Arabidopsis thaliana: one gene and its partner. The protein of the gene in region 1 interacts with the protein of each later gene in a pairwise test. Each region holds a gene or a part of one and is shown in the gene's direction. Other genes may lie near its edges. The genes, in order: LOL1 and SNI1.

The links.
Region 2: the proteins of LOL1 (region 1) and SNI1 interact in a two-hybrid assay, tested with the Arabidopsis thaliana proteins (one large-scale study listed by BioGRID).

The regions. Positions count from the first base shown.
Region 1 is NC_003070.9:11,765,757-11,770,745, forward strand, and holds LOL1 (lsd one like 1), read left to right. Parts: upstream 1-1,728; 5' UTR 1,729-2,286; coding exon of another isoform or gene 2,287-2,365; 5' UTR 2,366-2,496; coding exon 2,497-2,797; intron 2,798-2,884; coding exon 2,885-2,998; coding exon of another isoform or gene 2,999-3,015; exon of another isoform or gene 3,016-3,541; coding exon 3,542-3,651; coding exon of another isoform or gene 3,652-3,705; exon of another isoform or gene 3,706-3,796; coding exon 3,797-3,835; 3' UTR 3,836-4,293; downstream 4,294-4,989. UniProt on the Arabidopsis thaliana protein: Positive regulator of reactive oxygen-induced cell death. May be involved in the repression of the copper/zinc superoxide dismutase CSD1 and CSD2 that detoxify accumulating superoxide before the reactive oxygen species (ROS) can trigger a cell death cascade.
Region 2 is NC_003075.7:10,191,152-10,196,297, forward strand, and holds SNI1 (negative regulator of systemic acquired resistance (SNI1)), read left to right. Parts: upstream 1-1,757; 5' UTR 1,758-1,832; coding exon 1,833-1,965; intron 1,966-2,039; coding exon 2,040-2,106; intron 2,107-2,200; coding exon 2,201-2,294; intron 2,295-2,385; coding exon 2,386-2,442; intron 2,443-2,537; coding exon 2,538-2,607; intron 2,608-2,691; coding exon 2,692-2,756; intron 2,757-2,851; coding exon 2,852-2,933; intron 2,934-3,026; coding exon 3,027-3,076; intron 3,077-3,154; coding exon 3,155-3,298; intron 3,299-3,375; coding exon 3,376-3,446; intron 3,447-3,511; coding exon 3,512-3,581; intron 3,582-3,665; coding exon 3,666-3,731; intron 3,732-3,847; coding exon 3,848-4,006; intron 4,007-4,087; coding exon 4,088-4,185; intron 4,186-4,287; coding exon 4,288-4,360; 3' UTR 4,361-4,511; downstream 4,512-5,146. Other genes in the region: AT4G18450 (Integrase-type DNA-binding superfamily protein), read right to left, coding at 1-10; AT4G18460 (D-Tyr-tRNA(Tyr) deacylase family protein), read right to left, coding at 4,612-4,674, 4,756-4,781, 4,875-5,015, 5,140-5,146. UniProt on the Arabidopsis thaliana protein: Component of the SMC5-SMC6 complex, a complex involved in repair of DNA double-strand breaks by homologous recombination.

The DNA.
Region 1 (4,989 bases):
AGAAGATTTTACGATGGAGATCGTGACTCACACCATGTCACATGTGAAGTGTAGTTGACATAACAAAATAATAAAGAAGAATAAGAAAAAAGAAAGACAATATAGAAATTGGCATTATAGAAATTGGCCCCATCAAATAATTAGACAACCGCAAACCAAAACTAAAGCTGCTCTCGATATGAAATCCAACCTAATAATCACAGTTATTGTTACCCTTACCCATGTTTATATCTTTCATATGTGTATATGCACATAAAAGTTCACGTTTATGATTTAGCCTATAGAATTGAGTGAACTGCCAAACAATAAATTGTCGGTTTGGTACAACAACAAAAGAGAGAGAAACTAAATTTCCCCTGATTGGGTAACTGAATTTCCTGTGTGCATGACCCATAGTAAGTTTTATTTTATTTGTTGCCTCAGTCTGGCCCTTGATAATTTGGATTTATGGCAAATATTGTTTTTTTTATTAACTTAGCATACCTATTTCTTCTTTGATCAAAAAAAAAAAAAAGCATACCTATTTCTTACGTGAGATAGTTTAACAAATGTGATGTATTTGATAAGAGAAAAAATATTGAATATGATAACTGAAAAATATTGTACTAATTTGATCAGAGTTTACAGTATTTTTATATATATATTAACAAACATGTCTATTAAACTCAACTTTTGCAGAAAGGTGAAAGTTTAACTTCCGTGCTCATCTTTTTTGTCGACGAGCGATTATCGTTTATAGTATATTAAATTAAAATATCATCGTAACATATCCATTTACATGTAAGAGTCCCATGGATCAATAATATGCATTAAAAAGCAATACTTAATTTTCAAGATATCTTTAAAAATAAAAAGATAACTCACGTTTAAATCGTGAAAAAATACTTCTCATAATTCAGAAAAATAATATTTCTAGAGTTTTTTTTGTTACTTAAAGATAGATTTTGTAAGTTTTCTATGTATTTTATAATTTTTAGTATTTACCAATTGTCTGTCGTCCAAAACAAAAGTAATAAAAAATTGTTGACTTTCAAAAATATAGATTGAAAAATGAATTTATAAACTTACTATTAGTTTAGAGTTATAGGAAGTTATTTAGAACAGAAAATGATTCATTTATAATTAAGTTTTTATATAATATTGGTAAAAACTCTAAGAAATAATTTATTTTCTTATTATAAAGTTAATTCAAGACTTTTAAATAATAATAAGCAATTTTTTTCTAGCAATAATTAATAAGTAAGTTAAAATTGTTTTTTTTTTTTTTATTCTAATATGTGTTTTTCTATACTATATTAGTTTAGTTTAAGTGCAACCCCTTCTAATTAAGTGGTGTATATTTGTATAATAAACATGTCTAGAAGACCAATTCTACATATTCACTATGCGGATATGAACCTGAGTAATGACAAAGCGACACCGTTATCACATATATGATAAAACTATATTACATATAAATTATTAAGTTTAAATGTGATTTCTGTAAATATTTTTGTCTACAAACAAAATTTAAGGAAGATTTAAAAAAAAATCATATCAGTATTTGTTTATTACAAGGAAAAAGTATAACCTTTTACAAGAAAATATACTTTTTCTCAAGAAATTTGCCTATTTTGCCACTAGAACTTCAGATTCTCAAAAAAAAAACTTGTTTTTTTGTTTTTCTTTTTTTTTATTTCAATTTTTCATTAATATACCCTCTATTTAACTGATAAAGGCAAGTTGCAAAAGAGGGTGTGTGTTTGCCCCACTCCTCACATAATGTCATAATAATACAATCTTCGAAGTTTTCGCAATTCACATTCCTTTTTTCCAAGTCCCAATACATACACATATACAAACACACACATATACACCCAAACGTTATGTAACTGCAAAAAAAATATCGAAACGAGATTCTACAATTAGTCTCTAGTCAAAGAGCTTCATGGCAATGGTGTGACCCCAAAGTTAGTCTTCACATGTTTCTTAAGTTTCAAACATTGAATTTTTTTCCTTTTATAAATAGTTAAGACTTATCTTCATTTTCTAAAATAGTCAAGATTTATATTCCTCTTAAAAAATAATTTATTTCCTTCCTAAGAAGAATTATTAGATTTATTTTCTTTGCTAGTATAGATTGATGAAAGTGAGGAAATGGGAGAAGAAATGAAGAACACAGGATGTGTCTTCTTCTTCTAAGTCACTAACAAAATCAACAAAGAGGAGAAGCCATTATTATATAATAGAGAGATTGAGAGAAGAGATTTATCCAAAAAAATATTGCAATTCTTCTTGGAGTGAATAATGCCAGTCCCTCTTGCACCATATCCAACACCTCCGGCACCGGCACTGGCTCCGTCGTACAACACTCCTCCGGCAAATGGTAAAATCTTTCTTAAATGGACAAGCTATTTTTAATCCAAAAAGATCCTCTGTTTTCATATTCTTTTACAAAAGTTTTAGTTTCTTATAAGATTGATTTTTTGGCTTTATTAAACAAGATTGTTTTTGGTCATGCATACTTGGAAAAATCAAATATTTTCAGATTCCCAATTTGTTTTACTCTTCATGGGAAAAAATTGCTCAATTATTTTCCCAGAACCACATTTATTTATTTCACATGTGTTCATAATCCATTTGAATGTACTTTTTTTGGTTAAAAAAATAAATAAAAACAACTTGAGATTTGTAGGAAGTACAAGTGGGCAGAGCCAGTTAGTGTGTTCAGGTTGCAGAAACCTTCTGATGTATCCCGTCGGAGCAACCTCCGTCTGTTGCGCCGTCTGTAACGCCGTCACGGCCGTTCCTCCGCCCGGTAAAATCCTTTAAACCATAACAAAAGAGTTTGGTTAAAGTCTTAAAGAGATCTTTGAGTTTTGTAATAACTGATTGGGCAATGCAGGAACGGAGATGGCACAGTTGGTATGTGGAGGATGTCATACACTCTTAATGTACATTCGTGGAGCTACAAGTGTTCAATGTTCTTGTTGTCACACTGTTAATCTCGCCCTCGAAGGTTTACATGCATATTGATCTTTATATATTACTTATTAAACAAAAAACATCGATCTTTATATTTGGTGTTTAATCAGATTTTTATTGACTGTTTTTGTTTGGGTTGTGGTTTAGGGAATATATACAAGAAACCAAATCCAAAATGAAAATATTTTTAATTTTTACGATCGAGGTCGTTATATATTACAAATTTATTACATGTTGTCGTTTATCGACAATATGTATTGTAAGGATTTAAACTCAGATTATATTGCAAACTAGGAAAAAATATTTTATTATATGTTCTGCTTAGTTTATTATGTGTTTTTATTCAAAAATACTTTTTACAATAAATTATATTGAGTTTTGGTTTTTATGATAAAACAATAAAACTAGGTTTGTTTATATATGTGTGGGTCTAGTTTAGTTTCGATTTTGAGATATAAGATAATTAAACCGAATTTTGGATTTATTTTGCAGGTCTTGTTTATGTTTAGGTTTAGGTTGTTAAAACATTTCGGTTTTAAGTGTATTAATAACTTTCATGTCTTGCAAATGTAATCAGCAAACCAAGTAGCGCATGTGAATTGCGGAAACTGCATGATGCTACTAATGTATCAATATGGAGCAAGATCAGTGAAATGTGCCGTTTGTAACTTTGTCACATCTGTTGGGGTTAGTTCTCTTTCTTTATCCAAAAAGATCGGTTTTAAATCAGTCGCAAACTAACAAAATTACTTCTCTTTTTTTTTTAACATCAGAACGTTTCTTTATATAATGTTTTATTTTTGGTTGCTATTGTTTTGATAATTGCTTGTAGGGTTCAACGAGCACGACTGATTCGAAGTTTAACAATTAAAACTTGGATCTATCTACCTATCAATACATATTGAGTTATGAGCAATATAGAGGAAGCATCAAATCTTTTTCACTCTCTCTTCGATCAAGAATCCGGCAGTGATGAGTTTGAAACCATTTTCGGAAGTAAATGAAATATGTAATTCGTCGAAATTTCTGACTTTGGTCTCTTTGTCCGTTTGTATAGAGCTATCTCTCTTCTTTGGTTTTTGTTTTGTTCTCTTAAGAAAAATTTGATTCACCAGTTTGTAAGAGTGATTCAGAAATCAAAGCTAGACTTTTTATGCATGAAAAAAATAGATTGTTTTAAATGCTTATGCATACTCCGATCCTTTTCAAGCATTTTAAAGCACAAAGGACGTCGGTGACAATTTTCATTTGTAAGTTCATCAAAATATATATGCTAAGAAAATTTGGAAATGTAAAGTGAACTTACAAATGAAAATACATGTAAGAAACCTTTATACTTGATAGTCTCAAAAATAAATTGTTGAACCAAAAAAACTATAAAGTATTATTAGAATGTGGTTTGGAATGAAGAGATCAATAAACCTTATATATTAGAGTAGAATTATAGATGTGGGACATTCTAATAAGTATATAAACCAAACAAAACTTAATCGTGATACAACAAAACAATGGGACGAATATGTAATAAATAAAACAGAACCCGAAAAGGTTTTGTCCCTCGATATTGACTAAAGTCTGAATAATTCCACGCAATCTGTCTATGGATAATTGGGGTAGACTTCACTCACGGGTTCATCTATGATTTGATCTTTGGTTGGTTTAAGTGTCTTTCGCATGTCTTTTCGTTTCTTTGGATCACGGCAAGATTCTTGACATAGATATATTTGAACATTTTGCTTGGAGATTTATTTAAGGATAAGATTTAATTTCGTTTTCTTTGTCTGATGTTCTACGTAGAAGAAGATCCATGTGACTTTGAAATAGATATCTCTTGATTTACTTTGGACTAGTCAATTAATCTGAATTAACCAAAATGCTACTAAGCTTATAGATAAAGGTGAAAAATATTTCAAGAATTTCGGCAGCCAAATCTATCGATACACATTTGACATTTCCTGTCATTGTCACGTCACTTACCAAAAACTAATGGCTAAAATCTCTGACCATATCAAATACTCCAACTTT
Region 2 (5,146 bases), on another chromosome or scaffold:
CAAAAGCCATTGTTGAATCAGAGAGGAGTATGTGTTGGTGAGATTTAGGGCATTTTAAAGAGATTGTTGCTTTGGGGGTTTTGTGTGTACGTTGAATGGGAAATCTGCGGCAGGATAATTGGGAAGTACAGTTGGTGAAACTTGTGTTCTAAGGTACTGACCGCATTTCATGGAGGGTTTTAGGTTCCACATAAAATCAGGGGTTTTCTGTGTATACACACACACACGTACCATTATGTGAATAGATCATCTTAAGTCAACTTCAATAAATTAATTTAATAATGTTACCTCAGTTTGAAGTATAAAGATTGTGTACTATTTTCATTAAAAAAGTGCAGATTGTGTACTCTTGAAAAGGACTAGATGCAGAGTATTAATTCACTTTTGTATAATAAACATATTAATCTTCAGTTTAACGCTTCATGAGAATCTATGACGTGTTCCCACCAGAGGCACAAATCCGTTTTGGAGAATTGTGATTATTAAATCAAACATAAGTTTATTGTTTTAATGTTTCGTTCCACGCTCGTCGCATTTTAAAAAACTTTTTAACTATTTTTTTGGTTATAAAAAGAAATATAGCTTCTAAATGACTTGTTTCTACTGTTAGATTGATGAACCTTAATACTGATTTAGCTTTTCATACATCGATAAAGAATTCTTCGGTGTTTAGTTAAGTTTGTTAGAAGTTATTATTTTACCATACGATCACAGTTTAACGCATATTGCCTAGAGAATATAATATAATGATAACTAAACGCTATCAAAATGTGAAACGAAATAAGAAAAAACATGTAAGGGCTAAGTCATCACTAACTTTTTATCCAAGTATTATTTGTATGAGATCATTTTCCGTAAGTCCAAAGATTTGAAACAATGATGAGAGGTGAATAGAATATATAAATTCCACACGCTTTGAAACATAGCTTACAATTGAAAAAAAATGAAAAAGAGATTAATATCTCTATTCAATGTATTATAGAGAATGAGCTAGAGATACTTTATATGGTAGGTTCAAGTCACCTCAAGTACGTATCAGCTAATATTAAAAAACTATCTGCTAATTTTTATATCAATCGTTTAAGATTCATTCATTCGTTCTCCACTACGAGAGTTTCTTGCTTTGGCACATATATAGTTCAAGAAAGTCTCGTGTTGGAGAGACTCCAAGCGTGCTAGAGCGTTTCGATTAGAAAGGTGTTTTGTTCGAGCATTAAAGATTGTTGCAATGGTTCTATCTTAAGGTAGTCATTTGTTAAATTTTGGTATTCAATCTCGAGAGCTTCATAAGTCTAGCGAGCTTCATAAACACACTACAAGTCATGTGTATAAAATTTCCAATTCTGTAATCACAAGTCTAAACTTAATCTGAATCCAAATCACAAAAAGCATTTTCAAAATTGATTAAAAAAAAAACTACAATATAGAAAAGATTTTAATTGATGCTTGGAACGGAACTAACATTACCTGTTATGATTTCGGGCCTGAAAGTATTCTGAGTTTTGATTCAGAACCACTCGGTATTAAAGAAAAAGAAGACTTACTACAAAAAAAAAATTATATATATTTTTATGAATTATTATAACCAACTAATATTGTCTCTATTGGTTCTAAGTTCAAACTTCTAACCTTCGAGGGCCGGGTTCAAATTCCAGTAAGTGATTTATTTTTTGCTAACAATTCTCTTATGGCGGGAAAATTGACTTCTGTCGAGAATTAGGGTTTCTACAAATCTTTCTCCGTTCTAATTTCGGATTAAGATTTCAATCTCTCCTTCTCGTTTTCTTCTTTGGTGCTGCTGAGAAGAAATTAGTGAAATTGTGAAAGAGAAGATGTCGAAAGAGACGAAGGGTAATAACAATACAAGCAGAGTGATGAGTGGCTATGGCGGTAGCTTGGAAGCTAACACCTTGGCTATGATTGATTCCACCGGAGCTAAAGACAGTCGCGACGCTAACGAAGATCGTACGTTTCCTCAATTTTCAATCTTCGTCTTTGTTTTTGTTAATTGTATTGATCCTTTGAATGAAAAACCTTAGGTTTGCAGTATCTGGAAGCTGTTCGTGCTGCTTCACTTGTACCCGAAAATGGAATTCCTCCAACCAAGTAAAAAATAAAAAACTCTGTTTTTCTAAGAAATTTGAAGTTTTTACCTCTAAAAGAGTACTGATTTTGATTTGGGTTTTGTTTAATTTTGAAGCAAAATGTACCAAGCGATTTTCAGGATATTGAGATTTGGTAAAACATTGGAACTTATCACAGCAAGTTTCCAGCTTTTGACTCAATTACATCAGGTACTTGTTGCAAGATTTTGGTAGTGTAATTTGTCCAATAACTTTTATGAGGTTTCAGTGTTTTGCTTATTATGATTATGTTTTGTTTCAGCGGTTTCCTTGGGTTTATGTATCTGATTCAGCTGATCAGTTGGACATCGTTGACGAGGTACTTGTTACAAAAGTTTTGATGTGTTTTTGTTCATTCTTTGTTATGGTGGGGATGGTTGATTTCATGTGTTTGTTTATGGTTTTGTTTTGCAGGCTTGGTCACCGTTTAATTTCGGGTCTGATGTTGATTCTGATGAAAAGGATTTATCAGTGAGAAGCTTATGTAAGGACGTTTGTCTTCTCTTTTTGAGTTAGCTTTTTGTTGGTTCTTGCTAAATATGATTTTTTGTTTGTTTTATGATTTCAGTTTTGCAACAGCTGATTCAGAACATGAACAAAAGAGTTAATGAGTCTGAGGAATCAGATTTAAAGGTTGATTTATTTGTTATGTTGCAGATAAGCTTTAAAAATTGGTAGACTTTCACACAACTTGTTGTTATTTGATTCTTTTGTTTGGATTTCTGCAGATCCTTGGAAATATGTTTCTGTTCAAGTATCTTGCTCATGTTCTTAAGCTAGATTTCACACCCCGAAATCAAGTGTATGAAGGTATAGATTATGTCTTCATAGTTTTAAGATTTCTCTTTATCTTGTTAAGTTTGGGGAAATTCTTAGAACTTTTTGTGTCCTTTTGTGCTCCAGAAACTATGAACTGGAGTCTCTTAAAGGAATCTTTTCTGAATCTACTTCTGGTACATCCCACAATCAATGGCTCAGAAACTAGTATAGTAATTTATTTGTGATTTTTAATGTTATGGTTCTGCTTGTAGGCTTCAAGAAAAGTGAATTTCAAACTTCTAATGAAAGATTATCTATCAACAATGTGTGCATCCATTGATGCTGATGAAAAGTCTATCAGTTTGGTAGAATTGCACAAGGACATGCTTACTGCTATGAAAGAACTTCTAGTAATGGTAAGTTTTCGGTTACCAGAGTATTAGTGTTTCAATTTTCGGAGCTTTTTGCTCTTACGTTTCTGTTCCTTGTTTAGATCATGGAGCTTGATACATCAAAGAAGAAAGCTGACTTAGAAGGGATTACCTCTAGAGGAGATGGCGTAAGGTAATGAGTTTCTGCCTCACTTTTGAATTGTGTTTTCTCCATGTTTGTGATCCAATTTGATGCAGGACCCCTGCAATGGAGATCATTCTCGACGAGCTGACTTATGATGGATACTTGCTGTCAAAATTTCTTCAGGTAAGAGACAAACCACTTCTGAAACTCACTGTGGTCTGTAAAATTCTTCTCTCTGTGGTTCTTGAGTGAAAATTTCTTAATCAGGTTTTCGATGATCCTAAATGGAAGCTAGAGATTGTTCTCCAATACCTTACTAAATACATTCCTAAGGTTTGTTGTTAATTCTCTGATCTCTCGCTCTCTGATTATCTTCTCCAACAAATGATGTACAATATATAGTTATTTCTCTGATTTCTCTCTCTGACCAAATTTCTTTCATGTTGTAGCCTGTTGTACGTACCCGAAGAACAACTGTTCCTCAAGCAGAGGATTCGAAAACACTAAATGGGATCTTGAAGACGTTTTCAAATGGCACAAATCCAAAGAACATCACTAAAAAGATAGGACCTGACATTGTTCAGATCCTCATCGGCCATGCCTTTCTGGTAACACAATAATACCTTTGTTTCTTCTTTCACGTTCTCAGAGCTTTTTTTGGCCTCCTAATGTATTTAACTATTCGTCAGGCTCGGCTTACATTCTCTGACCCTCACGAAGGAGACTCTATTTCAGAGATATGCAGTAGTATCATCTCTGCATTTACTAGTCTAAAGCGAGTAGATCAGTAAGCTGCAGTTTCTTTCACTCTCAGTTTTTTTTCTCTTTGTGCAATCGAGATACTATACCGCTTTCCTTTGTCCAACCGAAAGTTTAATGGTTGTTATAGGAAAATCGAGATTCTACCGTTTGGGAAAGAAGTGTTGTTTACTGCAGGAATGGTACTCAAGGCAAAAGCTTAAAGCATCTAGGAATCAAGATTTTAACAAATCTAGAGACTTCAATTGGATTAGAAGCAAAGAAGTTACAATGTAATGTAGGAATTAAGAGTTACAGATCAATGAATTATGAATTTATATATTCTATAGTTTTGCCAATACAAAATGAGTGATCTTATGATTCTGTTGATGCCTTTTTCTCACTTATGGAACATATCAAGACTTGCTTTAGTAACAAATCCATGCCTGATAAGTTTATGCAAAACAATCTTGGCTTACTTGGTGGATTGAGGTGAGTCGAGCTGCATCGTGACCGGACCATCGTTTACAAGATTGACCTTTGAATATGATTAGAGAACATGTTTTAATCACACAAGATACTAATCAAACCTTGCTATTGAAAGGAGTTATCTCCTTACCTGCATCATAGCTCCAAACACACCATCTGTATTTTAAAAAAGAGAACCAATTTAGTCAAGAAGACTAGAGAAAATGAGAAGTTTTGATTAAGAAAAGATCAATGAGAGTGTGTTTTGACCTTTGACAGCATCAGGATTATATGCTTTCTGGAATTTCTCAACTAAAGAGGCGTAAAAAGGTTTCGCTTTATCAGGTGGCATTGCGACATGAAAATCTGGTTTGTTACCTTTCAAGAATCCGTATAATGTGAATTGACTAACTGTATTAACACACATGATCCAAAGACCAGGGCAAGCAAAGAAAACAAACCTCAGTACATAAACCACAAGCTAAACCTTTCTCTAATCAAATGGTATATGAATAATAAAGAGATGCATCATTACCAAGTAA